3 linked regions of the Neurospora crassa OR74A genome follow. The protein of the gene in region 3 purifies or fractionates together with the protein of the main gene of each other region. This does not show direct contact. Links are inferred from orthologs where the notes say so. Each region holds a gene or a part of one and is shown on either strand. Other genes may lie near its edges.

Evidence for each region.
Region 1: the proteins of rpn-7 (region 3) and rpn-1 purify together in Saccharomyces cerevisiae (affinity purification with mass spectrometry; 6 studies listed by BioGRID, with this or other methods). This does not show direct contact. The link is inferred for Neurospora crassa OR74A from reciprocal best matches to the Saccharomyces cerevisiae genes RPN7 and RPN1.
Region 2: the proteins of rpn-7 (region 3) and pcb-4 purify together in Saccharomyces cerevisiae (affinity purification with mass spectrometry; 4 studies listed by BioGRID). This does not show direct contact. The link is inferred for Neurospora crassa OR74A from reciprocal best matches to the Saccharomyces cerevisiae genes RPN7 and PRE1.

Annotation. Positions count from the first base shown.
Region 1 is NC_026504.1:2,086,965-2,090,564, reverse strand, and holds the start of rpn-1 (26S proteasome regulatory subunit rpn1), read right to left. Parts: upstream 2,665-3,600; 5' UTR 2,282-2,664; coding exon 2,152-2,281; intron 2,080-2,151; coding exon 2,009-2,079; intron 1,943-2,008; coding exon 1-1,942. Other genes in the region: rbg-40 (serine/threonine-protein kinase RIO2), read left to right, coding at 3,125-3,600.
Region 2 is NC_026505.1:3,792,725-3,796,348, reverse strand, and holds pcb-4 (proteasome component C11), read right to left. Parts: upstream 2,086-3,624; 5' UTR 1,857-2,085; coding exon 1,855-1,856; intron 1,799-1,854; coding exon 1,641-1,798; intron 1,567-1,640; coding exon 1,317-1,566; intron 1,231-1,316; coding exon 1,029-1,230; 3' UTR 592-1,028; downstream 1-591. Other genes in the region: NCU01367 (rRNA processing protein RRP9), read left to right, coding at 2,617-3,624. UniProt on the Saccharomyces cerevisiae protein: Non-catalytic component of the proteasome which degrades poly-ubiquitinated proteins in the cytoplasm and in the nucleus. It is essential for the regulated turnover of proteins and for the removal of misfolded proteins.
Region 3 is NC_026506.1:2,285,622-2,289,444, reverse strand, and holds rpn-7 (proteasome regulatory particle), read right to left. Parts: upstream 2,431-3,823; 5' UTR 2,075-2,430; coding exon 1,610-2,074; intron 1,530-1,609; coding exon 715-1,529; intron 632-714; coding exon 433-631; 3' UTR 116-432; downstream 1-115. Other genes in the region: NCU03971 (mRNA cap guanine-N7 methyltransferase), read left to right, coding at 2,873-3,823. UniProt on the Saccharomyces cerevisiae protein: Component of the 19S cap proteasome complex which acts as a regulatory subunit of the 26S proteasome, involved in the ATP-dependent degradation of ubiquitinated proteins.

The sequences.
Region 1 (3,600 bases), on a different chromosome or scaffold from region 3:
TGGCCACTTCATTGTCATTGTCGTGGCTGTACCGTGACAGAGTGTCGTAAACCTTCATTTGAGGGTTGCTGGGGCTGATAAGACCCATAGCCAGCGGCACCGCTCGTCGGATGTTAGCTTCGCCGTAGTGCATAAGGTGACCAAAATGGCGGAGAACCATTTCCTGTCCAACATCTTCGCCCATGGCAATCAAGCCAATACCCAGAACGGCATAGGCCTGAAGCAACTCCTCGCCCTTCTTCTCCTCTCCATCCTCAATGTGCTCGTTGCAAATGTGAAGGAGCTCCTGAATCTTGAGGACGGCACCGGTGCCAGCCCAGGCGCAAATCTCAGCAAGAACAGCAGTTGGCTTCGCCATAGGGTGCTCAACCGCCTTCAACGTCTCAAGAATAACGTCCACCTGTTCCTGGCGACCAAAATAGAGGAGACCCAAGCCAAGCGCAAGGAACCTGGACCATTTGTCATTGAGGCGGCTTCCACTTTCTTCGTCCAACAAGGTAGTCACGATGGCCTCGCTGACTTCGGAATTGGAGGAGCCGACAAAGATCATACCGCAGGCCAGGGCAGCCATAGCCGACACCTGCATGCTCTCCTCAGGGTCGCTGATAATGTTGACCAAGAACGAGAGAAGCTCCTCCTTGCAGGACCCTGCGTATGCCAGTCCGAGACCCATAATGGTAGCTACGCGGATGAGCGGGTTCTTGTGCGCAAGCTTGTCGGGATCAGCCAACAGGGCCATCGCGGGCTCGGAGTCCGTCCTAACGTTAGTATTCATGATACCGATCGCGAGGTATGCGCCAGCTTGGATTTGCTCCTCCTCGAGATAAGTATACTTGTCGACGTGGTCAAGACCGTTCTCGACGTCCCAAAGGAGCAGGGTTCCCAGCGACGCCACTGTAGACATCATACCCTCATCCTTGGTCTTCCACACCCAGCTGTCCTTGTCTTTACCAACGAGCATCATCTTGTCACTCCCAAAGCCGGCATTGACAAAAGCGTTGACGAAGCCGGCGGCAAGATTGTGTCGGGCAGAATCAAAGTTGGTCATACCAGCAACACGGCTGCTTTCGAGGTGGCTCTTGTAAATATCCTCAGTCGTTTTTGGCTCCAAGATGTTGAGTTCCTTCCCGAGCGACTTGAAATACTCCGACAGCTTCTGGTTGGAAAGGCACTCGTAGATCTTTTCGTCGTCATCATTGCTCCTTTCAAACTCCAATGGAATGCCCTGGCGCGCGATAAGGAAAGCGAGCTGCTTGCGAAGCGCAGGATCCTCGTCCGCCGCCTCGAAATCTTTCTCGATGAGTCCAAGATCGTTGAGTCTAATCGCAAGCACCATGGCTTGGGTGTGCTGGTTGTATTTCTTGTAGATGCTGTGCGCCACGCGAAGGAACGTCTCGTTGTCAGGATAGGTTAGGAGGTTGACCATGGAGACCATGTACAGGCAGACTCTCGAATAGGTGTTCTCGTCGAGAAACTTGGGAAGCTCCTCGATGATCTCGAGCTCACTCATCAGATCGACGGCATCGGCTTCAGCGTTGCTCTTGAGGAAGAGCGGCACCAGAACCAGGGCAAGATCGACCAGCTCTTGAGTCGGCTCATCATTGGCTATGCGCTTGGCGTAGACCTCGCCAATCTCGAGGGCGAGATGGCGAACGTACTCATGACCCCACGAGCCAATGTCCTGTGTTGGGGAAAGAAGTCTGTATTTCAGAGTATCCTGGCGGTCCTCGTCCGAGTATGTCATACCGATCACCGATAGAACATCTGCGAGAGATGACTTATCATCGCCAGCGGGCCACTCGTCGTAGAGTTTCGTCATGGTTTCATAATGCGGGCGCAGGAACTTGAGCGGCTTCGGTACCGCCGTCATGGAGGATGTGGATGTCTTGATAGAGTTCTTCATGGCCTCGAGGGCCGGCTTGTAGAGGGTCGCATCGGATTCCTGAAGACATTGTACTGTTAGAGAAGCCGGTCTTCAGCCTGTATCACGTCATTGCGAAGCACCAACCGTTAGCCGCTCAACGAGCATCTCAAGCTCGCTCTTGAGCTGCTGATCCTCTTCACTGAGTTCCTCGGAAGCTAACGCAAAGCGCTGTCAGCAGAAGCCCGGCGCCGATACCTCAAGTCGGTCGGAGTGGCCGAGAAACCCACCATTCTGTTCCTCCTCCTTCTTTCCGTTTGCGGGGGTCTTTCCATCGACATCTTGGTGCTTCTTCTCGTCATCGACGGCCTTTCCCTTGCCCTTATCGGCCGTCTTGGACAGGTCGCTTTCTTGCGCCATGATTACTGGCCGTGATGGTTGTAGGTGGGAGGATTCGCGGAGCCGATGGGTCCAGTTGGAGGGGAAACCAAGGTCGGTTGGGCTGGCCGGGGTAGGTGGACGCGGCGGTGGCGTTCGCTGCTGCAAGAAATGTTCAAGTTTTGTCACCGAGTTTGCTTGAGCGACAGGAACTTGAGCTCCAGTCGTGAGCAGAATGTCAAAATCAAAAGTGGATGAGCTGGCTGCGGTTGTTTGGAGGTTGTTATGTTGTTCAGGTGACGGTTTTGGAGGTTGGAGCTTTTGCAGGTTCGCCCAGAAGCACCTCAGTTGCTGAAAGCCAGCAAAGGTCAGTGGCAGTTACGGTACTAACGCCAGGGAGCTCCGATGGTGGTTACGCGACTCGCTTGCCGCCTGAAGCTCCCCCGTCTGGCTGAGAACGCCCCTGCGATCCAATGCTGCCCGCCTCAAGTGGGTCTGGAAGCCTCGGTGGGGACGAGGCGTCATCAGAGCCTGGAAGATACAAATTCCGCTCCCCCCAAGCTTCTGATAAGATAAGCTACTGGCCTGGACCTGGCGCTTGACCGGGCAGGCACAGCTCAGCGAATGGAGCCCACGGCCAGCCCTATCTTATCGGGAAGATGTTATCGCAACCGTGCATTTGGAATTTGGGGGACGCCCACTTTCCATTCTGGACATCAGCTTTGCGCTTCACCCACCTTGACTTTGACTTTGACGAGAGCGTCGTAGACAGCAACCTAATAGCTCTCTTGGATCAATACAACATCAGAAAATCTCTCACAGCAATTAGGCCGACAATCACCTGAGGGGAAAAAACAAAAAACATCCAAAAAGAAACACACAATCATGTTTTTGGACACCAGAGTTTTACGCCATCTCACGGCAGAAGACTGGAGAGTCTTGACTGCCGTTGAGATGGGCAGCAAGAACCACGAGCTCGTCCCGACCCCTCTGATCGAGAGAATTGCCCGTCTCAAGGGCGGTGCCAGTGGTGTTCACAAGAGCATAGCGACCCTTGCCAAGTCTGGCCTCATCGGACGCATGAAGGAGGCCAAGTACGACGGCTACCGACTGACCTACGGCGGTCTTGACTATCTGGCCCTACACACCCACTCCTCGAAAGATGTCGTCTACAGCGTTGGCAGTCGTGTGGGTGTTGGCAAGGAATCCGACATCATGATCGTAGCCGACAAGACCGGCAAGCAGAAGATTCTCAAGATCCATCGCCTAGGCCGCATTTCCTTCCGTACCGTCAAGTCCAACCGCGACTACTTGCGCAACCGGCAAGGCGGCTCATGGATGTATCTCTCGCGGCTTGCGGC
Region 2 (3,624 bases), on a different chromosome or scaffold from region 3:
ATCTAACCTTTGCAGATGTTGACAGCAGACACTCGGATGACAGTTGCAACAGCGACATACATAATCGGGCCGCTGATGCCCTCCGCTTTGGTGACATGTACGTTGGTAGGTATCAGCTGCAGAGAGACAGTTGTGTACTATCTTGGAAGGTTTTGCAGAAAGGCTCCGTCCTGAATTCCCCCACGTCGTCCCAAGGTATCACCAGTCACCAACCATCACGCTTGTAGCGCTCACCGCTTTCAGTGTTAATGGGCCTCGTCATGTCAGCCAGCGATCATACACTACATGGCTCGTACTACACACATGCACTTCAGCACATTCCTTCAAGTCCCTTTGCTGCGTCTTCTCTGCGTGTGCTTTTAATGATGCCGACTGAACATATGAAATTGGAATTGACCATTCACTGGCTCGAGCTCTTCTCATTTGGCTGTACAACAATTCCCTGACAATGTGAAATACTTTCTAGTTGTTTCAACGTTTACCAGTAGTCATGATTCATGTTACAGCTTGTCGGTTTCAGGTAGGTACACAATACCTCTACGGACTTCAAGTGCTCGTCGAGCCTCTGTCTCGATTGAAACCGAGTGCGGTGTGCGCTTCAATGTTATAATACTTTCGCCCATGATTGCCAGAGGACGTTAAACAGGTTCCTTAACCTCAACTGCCGTAACGATATCTGACCGGTTGGAGGAGTGTTTCGAAGAAAGGATCAAAAAGAAGCAACCCTGACGTATCGTATCGCGATGGTGTCGGTGGCAGGGTGTATGATCGGCCCAGACGCGCTCCACACGCCACACTGAAACCGGGAGCCGCAGAGACGGACTCTCGGACTTCACACCTCTAACATGATAGCCTTGTTTCTTCCTCTCTCTTTCTTTATGATCATCAAATTCGCCAGGGGTCTCCCGTTGGTGGAGGCCACCTGGACTCATGCATTTCCGTCGTATGGGTATTATTATACAGAGTTGTCCTTCCCCCGCAAGGCTTCCCAAGCCGCAAGCAGGCAAGTAAGCAAGCATCCCCACAAATCAAGCCATCTTAACCACCTTGTCGTCGTCGAACTCGATATCGATGATGCCGTCCTTCGTTACCGCCTTGACCGTCATGCCCTTGAAGTCTATGGGTAACCTCCTCTTGAGCTCGTCGGTGCACAGGTTGAGAAGCTTGATACCCTGGTGGAGGGTGATGTCTGGGTGGTGGTGCTTGTCGAGAATCGAGAGGCAGTAGTATCTGATGAGGAAAGAACCGGTCAGTGATTCTGTACATGACTCCTACGCATCAAAGACGGTACAGAGATATCGGTCGAGATCACATACTGTGCGTAGCCGTGGGCGGCATAGGGGACCTTCGCCAACGACGCAAGGTAGTCGAGCCAGTAGAGGCTGGGCTTGTGGGTGATAGGGTCGACACCTCCGAGAAGGAGGTTTACGTTGTAGGGTTTGCGGGAGCGCAAGCTCGTCGCAAGCTCGCCGCGGACAAAGTTGGCAAGGGCAGAAGGGGAAAGGTCGGTCCCGTTGCGCATGGAGTAGAGCTGGGCGTTGGCTTGGGTGTACTCGGCGAACTGCACTGTCGATGGGAACAAACAGTTGGTTAACTTGGTTTGGTTCAAAAGCGCCATCATCACGATATCGCTGCCGTACCTGTGTCGCCAGCTTCACCGGAGAATGCCATCAGTGTGTGCTTGTTCAGCGACCTTGTCTTGTCGTCGGATGCCTTCAGGATGGTCGCTCCCCGCATAGCGGCCTTGGACGCCGCAATGATGGTAAAGTCCTTGCCCGTGATGCCTAGTAAAACCTCCCTACATGCTGATCAGCTCTGATATCACCTCTCCAAGACATGACCGATGCGACGTACATTTTGGCTGATTGTTATGTGAGTGAATGGATGATATGCTGTTGTTTTGGTAAGCTTTGGCAAGTTGCGTTGGCTTGCACGGTTCTCGTCGTTACCTACCTATGGCGGGACAGGGCAGTTGGAGCTTGAACTGACGGCGACGGGGAACGCGCACTGGAGCTTCAGCCTGCAAGCTGACAAGACAAGCACGGGCCAGGCTGTTCAGGTGCCCGCTATCGTCTTCCATCTTTCCATTCCAGTCCCCAGAAGGGCTGAAAGCTGCAACCACTGGGCAGGCAAGCAGACAGCGAGAGAGACAGCCCCACTCCGTCATGAAACCTGCCAGGATGGCCCGGGGACGTCTTTTGGAGACAGCAAGAGCCTCCCCACCAGCCGACTACTAACAGCTCGCTAGCTCGGTTCCGCGTGACAGAGCCCCTATATCTGTTAGTGACGCAATAAGGTAGAGTGCACGGCACGGGGATTCCCTTCTCCGACTCGTTCAATTGTGCCAAGCCAGTGGAGGAGATCTTGACGAATCGGCGTGCTACTCCACCGATAGAAAGCCTGCAGGGTGGGCAACTTTTTTTTTTCTTCGAAGTCCATCGGGTCGGGTGTGTCTAGGCGCGAACGGCCATCCCAAAAATTTCAACTTTGATAGCCATGCAGCAGCGTTGAAGTGAAGCCGAACGCGACCCCAATTCACATTCCAGTGTCATTCTCTACCACCAGACGACTCCAGTGCATTTGCACCGACCGCCCCGGGCCGCAATTGCCAACACCATGTCGTCCTTTTTCACAGCACCCGCTGGGGAAAAGAAGAGGAAGCGTGCCTCTGCCAACGAAGCCCCCCAGAAGCGAGTTGCGACTGGCAAATCGACTGCCAAGTCATCGTCGGTCAGAGGCCCTGCCGCCAAATCACGTCCCGCAGCCCCCAAGAAAGCCGTTGAGCGCGACGAGTCGATATCCGGCAGCGACATTGACAGTGACGATGGCGACCACATTGAGAGAGAGGACGGGTCGGAAGGAGAAGAGGAGTCGGACCACGAAGGAGAGACGGCGGCTGAGAAGCGGTTAAGATTGGCACAGCGATATCTGGACAAGGCACGACAAGAGGTGGAACTGGAGGACGAGTATGCCTTTGACGCCGAGCAGATTGACCGTGATTTGCTGGCCGAGCGTCTTCAGGAGGATGTGGCCGAGGCCAAGGGCAAGGTTTACCGCCAGTTGGCTTCCAAGCTCGACTTTGACAAGGCCGCACACACACAGTTTCGATGGAATTCAGGAACGGTAACATCAGTCTCGGTTTGCGCGCCGTACGCTTACACCACCACGAAAGACGGCTACCTTACCAAGTGGAAGCTACAAGACCTACCCAAGAACCAGTGGCCACAGACGACCAAGAAGAAGCCAAAGAAGCCGCCTGCGCCGCCCAAGAAGAAACCCGAGAGAGTGTGCTTCAACAGGGCGAACCCGATCAAGGCAAAGGACAAGACATACCAGGGACACACCAACGCGGCCATCCTGACGGTCAGGGCCTCTGCCGACGGCAAGTTTGTTGTCACCGGCGGCGCCGACAAGCGAATGGTCGTCCATGACGCCGAGACCCTCAAGCCCCTCCGGGCCTTCACCCAGCACCGCGACGCCGTTACCTCGCTCGCCTTCCGCCGCGGCACTAACCAAATATTTTCTGCCTCCAAGGACCGGACAGTAAAAGTCTGGTCGCTCGACGAGCTCGCCTACGTTGAAACACTCTTCGGCCACCAGGATGAGATCCCCGACATCGACGCT
Region 3 (3,823 bases):
ATCTTTGATGATACCTCAGCGTTTGTACTTTTTGCTAGCCTTTTGCATTGCACGTATGTACGTAGCCTTATCCAGGATACGAGGGACATACGAATACAAAAGTAAAAAAGCCTGGACAAGAAGAAACGGAGTCTTATGAACACATGATGCAATATCCGTGACAATGAGGAGCAAGTCGTTTTGTGTCATTTGTCCTTACTAGAGACGAGTTAGGCCCTAACGACAATTTAATGTGATAGGTTGCTTTAGGCTCTATTCTCTTCTGATTTCTCTCCGCCTTTCATCCATCCACTCAATCCATGCCCTTGATCATTCATATCCCCTTCCCTTCTTCCCAAGGTAATCGCTAACGATAGCACAGCTCGCTTATACATCATTGACCTTCCCCTTGTTTCACTGCTAGCTTCTAACTCTCTTCAAGTTGGTTCTCTACTACGCCCTTTCGCTTCCCCTCAACCGAACAGCCTGTCCGTACTTCTGCAGCTTGGTAATCAGCTGGTCACCCTGGCGAACCACGTCCTGATACTGCTTGTTCTTGTCGTCGGGCCGGTTGGTCTCGATAACACCCTTGCCATTGACGCGGTCGATGGTGCAGGGAATACGGCCGGCGGCGATGAACTTTGCTAGGTCACTGTTTTTGTGATGTACGATCAGTATATATAGAACTTGTGTCGGGGGGAAGAGGGGTAGAACAAAAACAAGGGGAAAACCAACCGATCCAAGAAATCCACGGTAACACCAAAGTCGTTGGCCATGCTATCCAGTCCCACAACGCGATAGCTCTGCAGCAGTTGCTGGTACGCGCGCAGGCGCATCTCGCGGATGAACCAGTTCTTATGCTCGTGCAGGTAGCGGTCCTGGGTGAGGAATTGCTCCTCCACCAGGGCCAGCGCCTGGAAGAAGAGCTTGTACCGGCCGTTGTACAGGCTGCTAACCAGCTGCGCGAGCGGGTCAAAGTCGACCGCCATCTCCGCCTCAGGCTGTTCCGTGCTGCTGCCGAGCGTGGTCAGGTTAACTACAGCCGTCCGGGCCGCCACGGGGGCGTTATCGGCGTCCTGCATCGAGGCGTCGGCTCCCGGGCCGGCCGAGATGGCGCCGGTCAGTGCGAGCAGCTTGTCCTCTCCGTCGCCAAGAATCGCCTTGATCTCGGGGGCGTCCACGACCTTGGACTTGAAGTCGACGCGCTTGAGCGAGACGGAACCGGCGAGCACGGCGTAGACCACCAGGTTGCTGTAGGTGCAGAGTTCGTACGAGGTAAAGGTGGACAGACTGTCGAGGAGCAAGGGGGCGGCGCCGCTGTAGTTGCGCACGGTGAGCAAGTGCAGACCCTCGTAGGCCTTGAGGCGGTTGCGACGGTCCCAGTCGCCGCCCGATTCGACAAGCGACTTGGCGCGCTCGACAGTCTTCTGGACTAGCTGCTTGTCGCCAAAGAAGAGGCCGAGGCGGATTAAGGCGAGGACGAGATCGATCTTGGTACCTAGAATGCTCGTCTTCTCGAGCAGATCTTGGTGCGCGGCGATGGCTTTTTCCTGAATAGGAAGAGTGTATGCTTAGTATATGTCGGTTGGTGGGAGTGGATGGGTAGCTAAGTGAACTTGTAGTGACCAACCTTATCGCCAACTCGGGCCCAGAACTCGGCCCTCTTTCCCTTGGCAGCCTGGATCTCTGTGTCTCCCGCCTTCTCGACAGCCTCATCTTCCTCTTTTTGGAACTCCTCAAGCTCCTTCTCGTTCTCGGCCTGCAGCTGCTGGTACAGGTTCTCATCCCACGGTAGGCTTAAGCTTGTGGTGGGTTTGTGGGTCGCGATCATGCCGGCGGCGATGCTGCTCTTCCTACCCAACCTTCCGGCACCGGCAGTGTTGGAGCCGCCTTCCCCAACAGAGTTAAGGACACCCTCGGTAGGGTGCGCGAGGTATCGGTAAAAGGGCGCCATCTTGTGCTCGGTGATGGCATCTTGAAGGTTCTTAACGGCCGCTTGTTGGGCAGGGCGGGCGGCGTAGGGGTTTGTGAGGGTGAAGACATGCTGGGCGAGGGGCAGCAGAGGCCATTTCGCGTATTGAGGATCGGAGCCCATTTTGTAGTTGTGATGGGTGCTAGCTTACGAGCCAAGGAGGGAGATGGGAGAGGAGGATGCAAATGGAAGACGGTCCGGTGCTGGTCAGTGTCCGTCGTCTGGTAGAAGCACCCCGCTGGAAATCGGCAAGCAGCTGATGGAGGTGGATGCCGGCTTAAGATGGGAAGTTTCGCGGTGTTGAAAGCTCTTGGAAACTGGATCGCAATGTGTGACTTGGCCTGGCGCTGTGATTCTACCAAAGATGCCGGGTCGAGGTGAGGCTGGGTGGTGGTGATGTCTGTGGTTTAGTTGTGGTGCTCCTTGAATGGTTCGGAAGGTCGATAGAGTAGCTGACCTCACTGGAGAGTGACCAAGGCCCCCAGAGCTCGCGCGTCAGCACTGGAAAGTGGAGACAGAGCTTGGAAGGCGGGCCAGGCCTGCAAGTGGAGCCGCTGGAACAGTGCCCGGGCAGGCACACTTCATCGGCTCAAACACCGACCGACCCATGCTTGCATCCTCAAAACACTTGCATCCCGACTTCCTTTCCAATTGCTTTCTCTCCTCGACAACAACAACAACAACAACAATAACAAGAGCTTTCAACTTCGACATACCGAATTTCGAGTCCCAGAATTCACTTTCAGGATTTGCCTGTGTCTGTACTCGCATCAATCGATATCAACAGTCAAAATCACAACTCACACCACTCACCGTCGCATCAGTTATTCTGCTGTTACACGAAGCCTGTACGCTTGCCATAGTTGTTCTTGCCGATGATCAAGTCTCCTTGCGAGACCACACCAACAGTTTTTTCCAGAAATGTCAGGCTACGATGGTTACACCAGTTATAGGTCCACTCGCAAGAGGCAACGCTCAGAATCGCCCTACGACGACGACCGCAATGGCCGCAACGAAGACCGTCGATACAAGTCTGCGAGGCATGACGAAGATGAGGACGACAACGATGTCCTCCCACAGCCGTTTGATGCCCGCAAGTTAGCTCCGGCCAAGAGAACACAAACCCCCACTACCAGCGGCGAGCCTAGAAAGCAGAAGCGGCCTGGCCAACGTGCCCGCATCACGGAAGCCGAGCGCGAACAGATTCGTCAACGTCAGATGGAGCGCGAGCGCCAGGCTCAGCGGGAGGCAGAAGCGGCCGCCGAAGCTGAGCGCCGCAACGCGGTCAATGACGTCGTACGTGCCCATTACAATGCTGTGCCCGAGCGTGGCCGTGACTGGCGTAAGACGGACAGTCGCATCAAAGGTCTCCGCTCCTTCAACAACTGGGTCAAGAGCTGTATCATCCAGAAGTTTTCTCCTGACGAAGACCACTCGCCTGGCGCTCGTGAGCGGGGAATCAGTTCGAACAATCAGCTGTTGGTGCTCGACATTGGATGCGGCAAGGGCGGTGATTTGGGCAAATGGCAGCAGGCGCCACAGCCCGTAGAGCTCTATGTTGGGCTGGACCCAGCAGATGTCTCTATCGACCAGGCGCGCGATCGGTATCGAAGTATGGTGGCTCGTGGCGGTCATGGCGGCAGGGGTGGACGGGGTGGCTATAATAGGAGACAGCCGCCACTCTTTGAGGCGCGATTCCACGTCAAGGACTGCTATGGCGAGTCGATTGAGGACATTGACATTATCCGGCAGGTCGGGTTCGCGTCGTCCAACATTGGTGGCCCCAGCCATCGGGGCTTTGATGTGGTCAGCATGATGTTTTGCATGCACTACGCCTTTGAGACGGAGGCGAAGGCGCGGCAGATGCTGAAG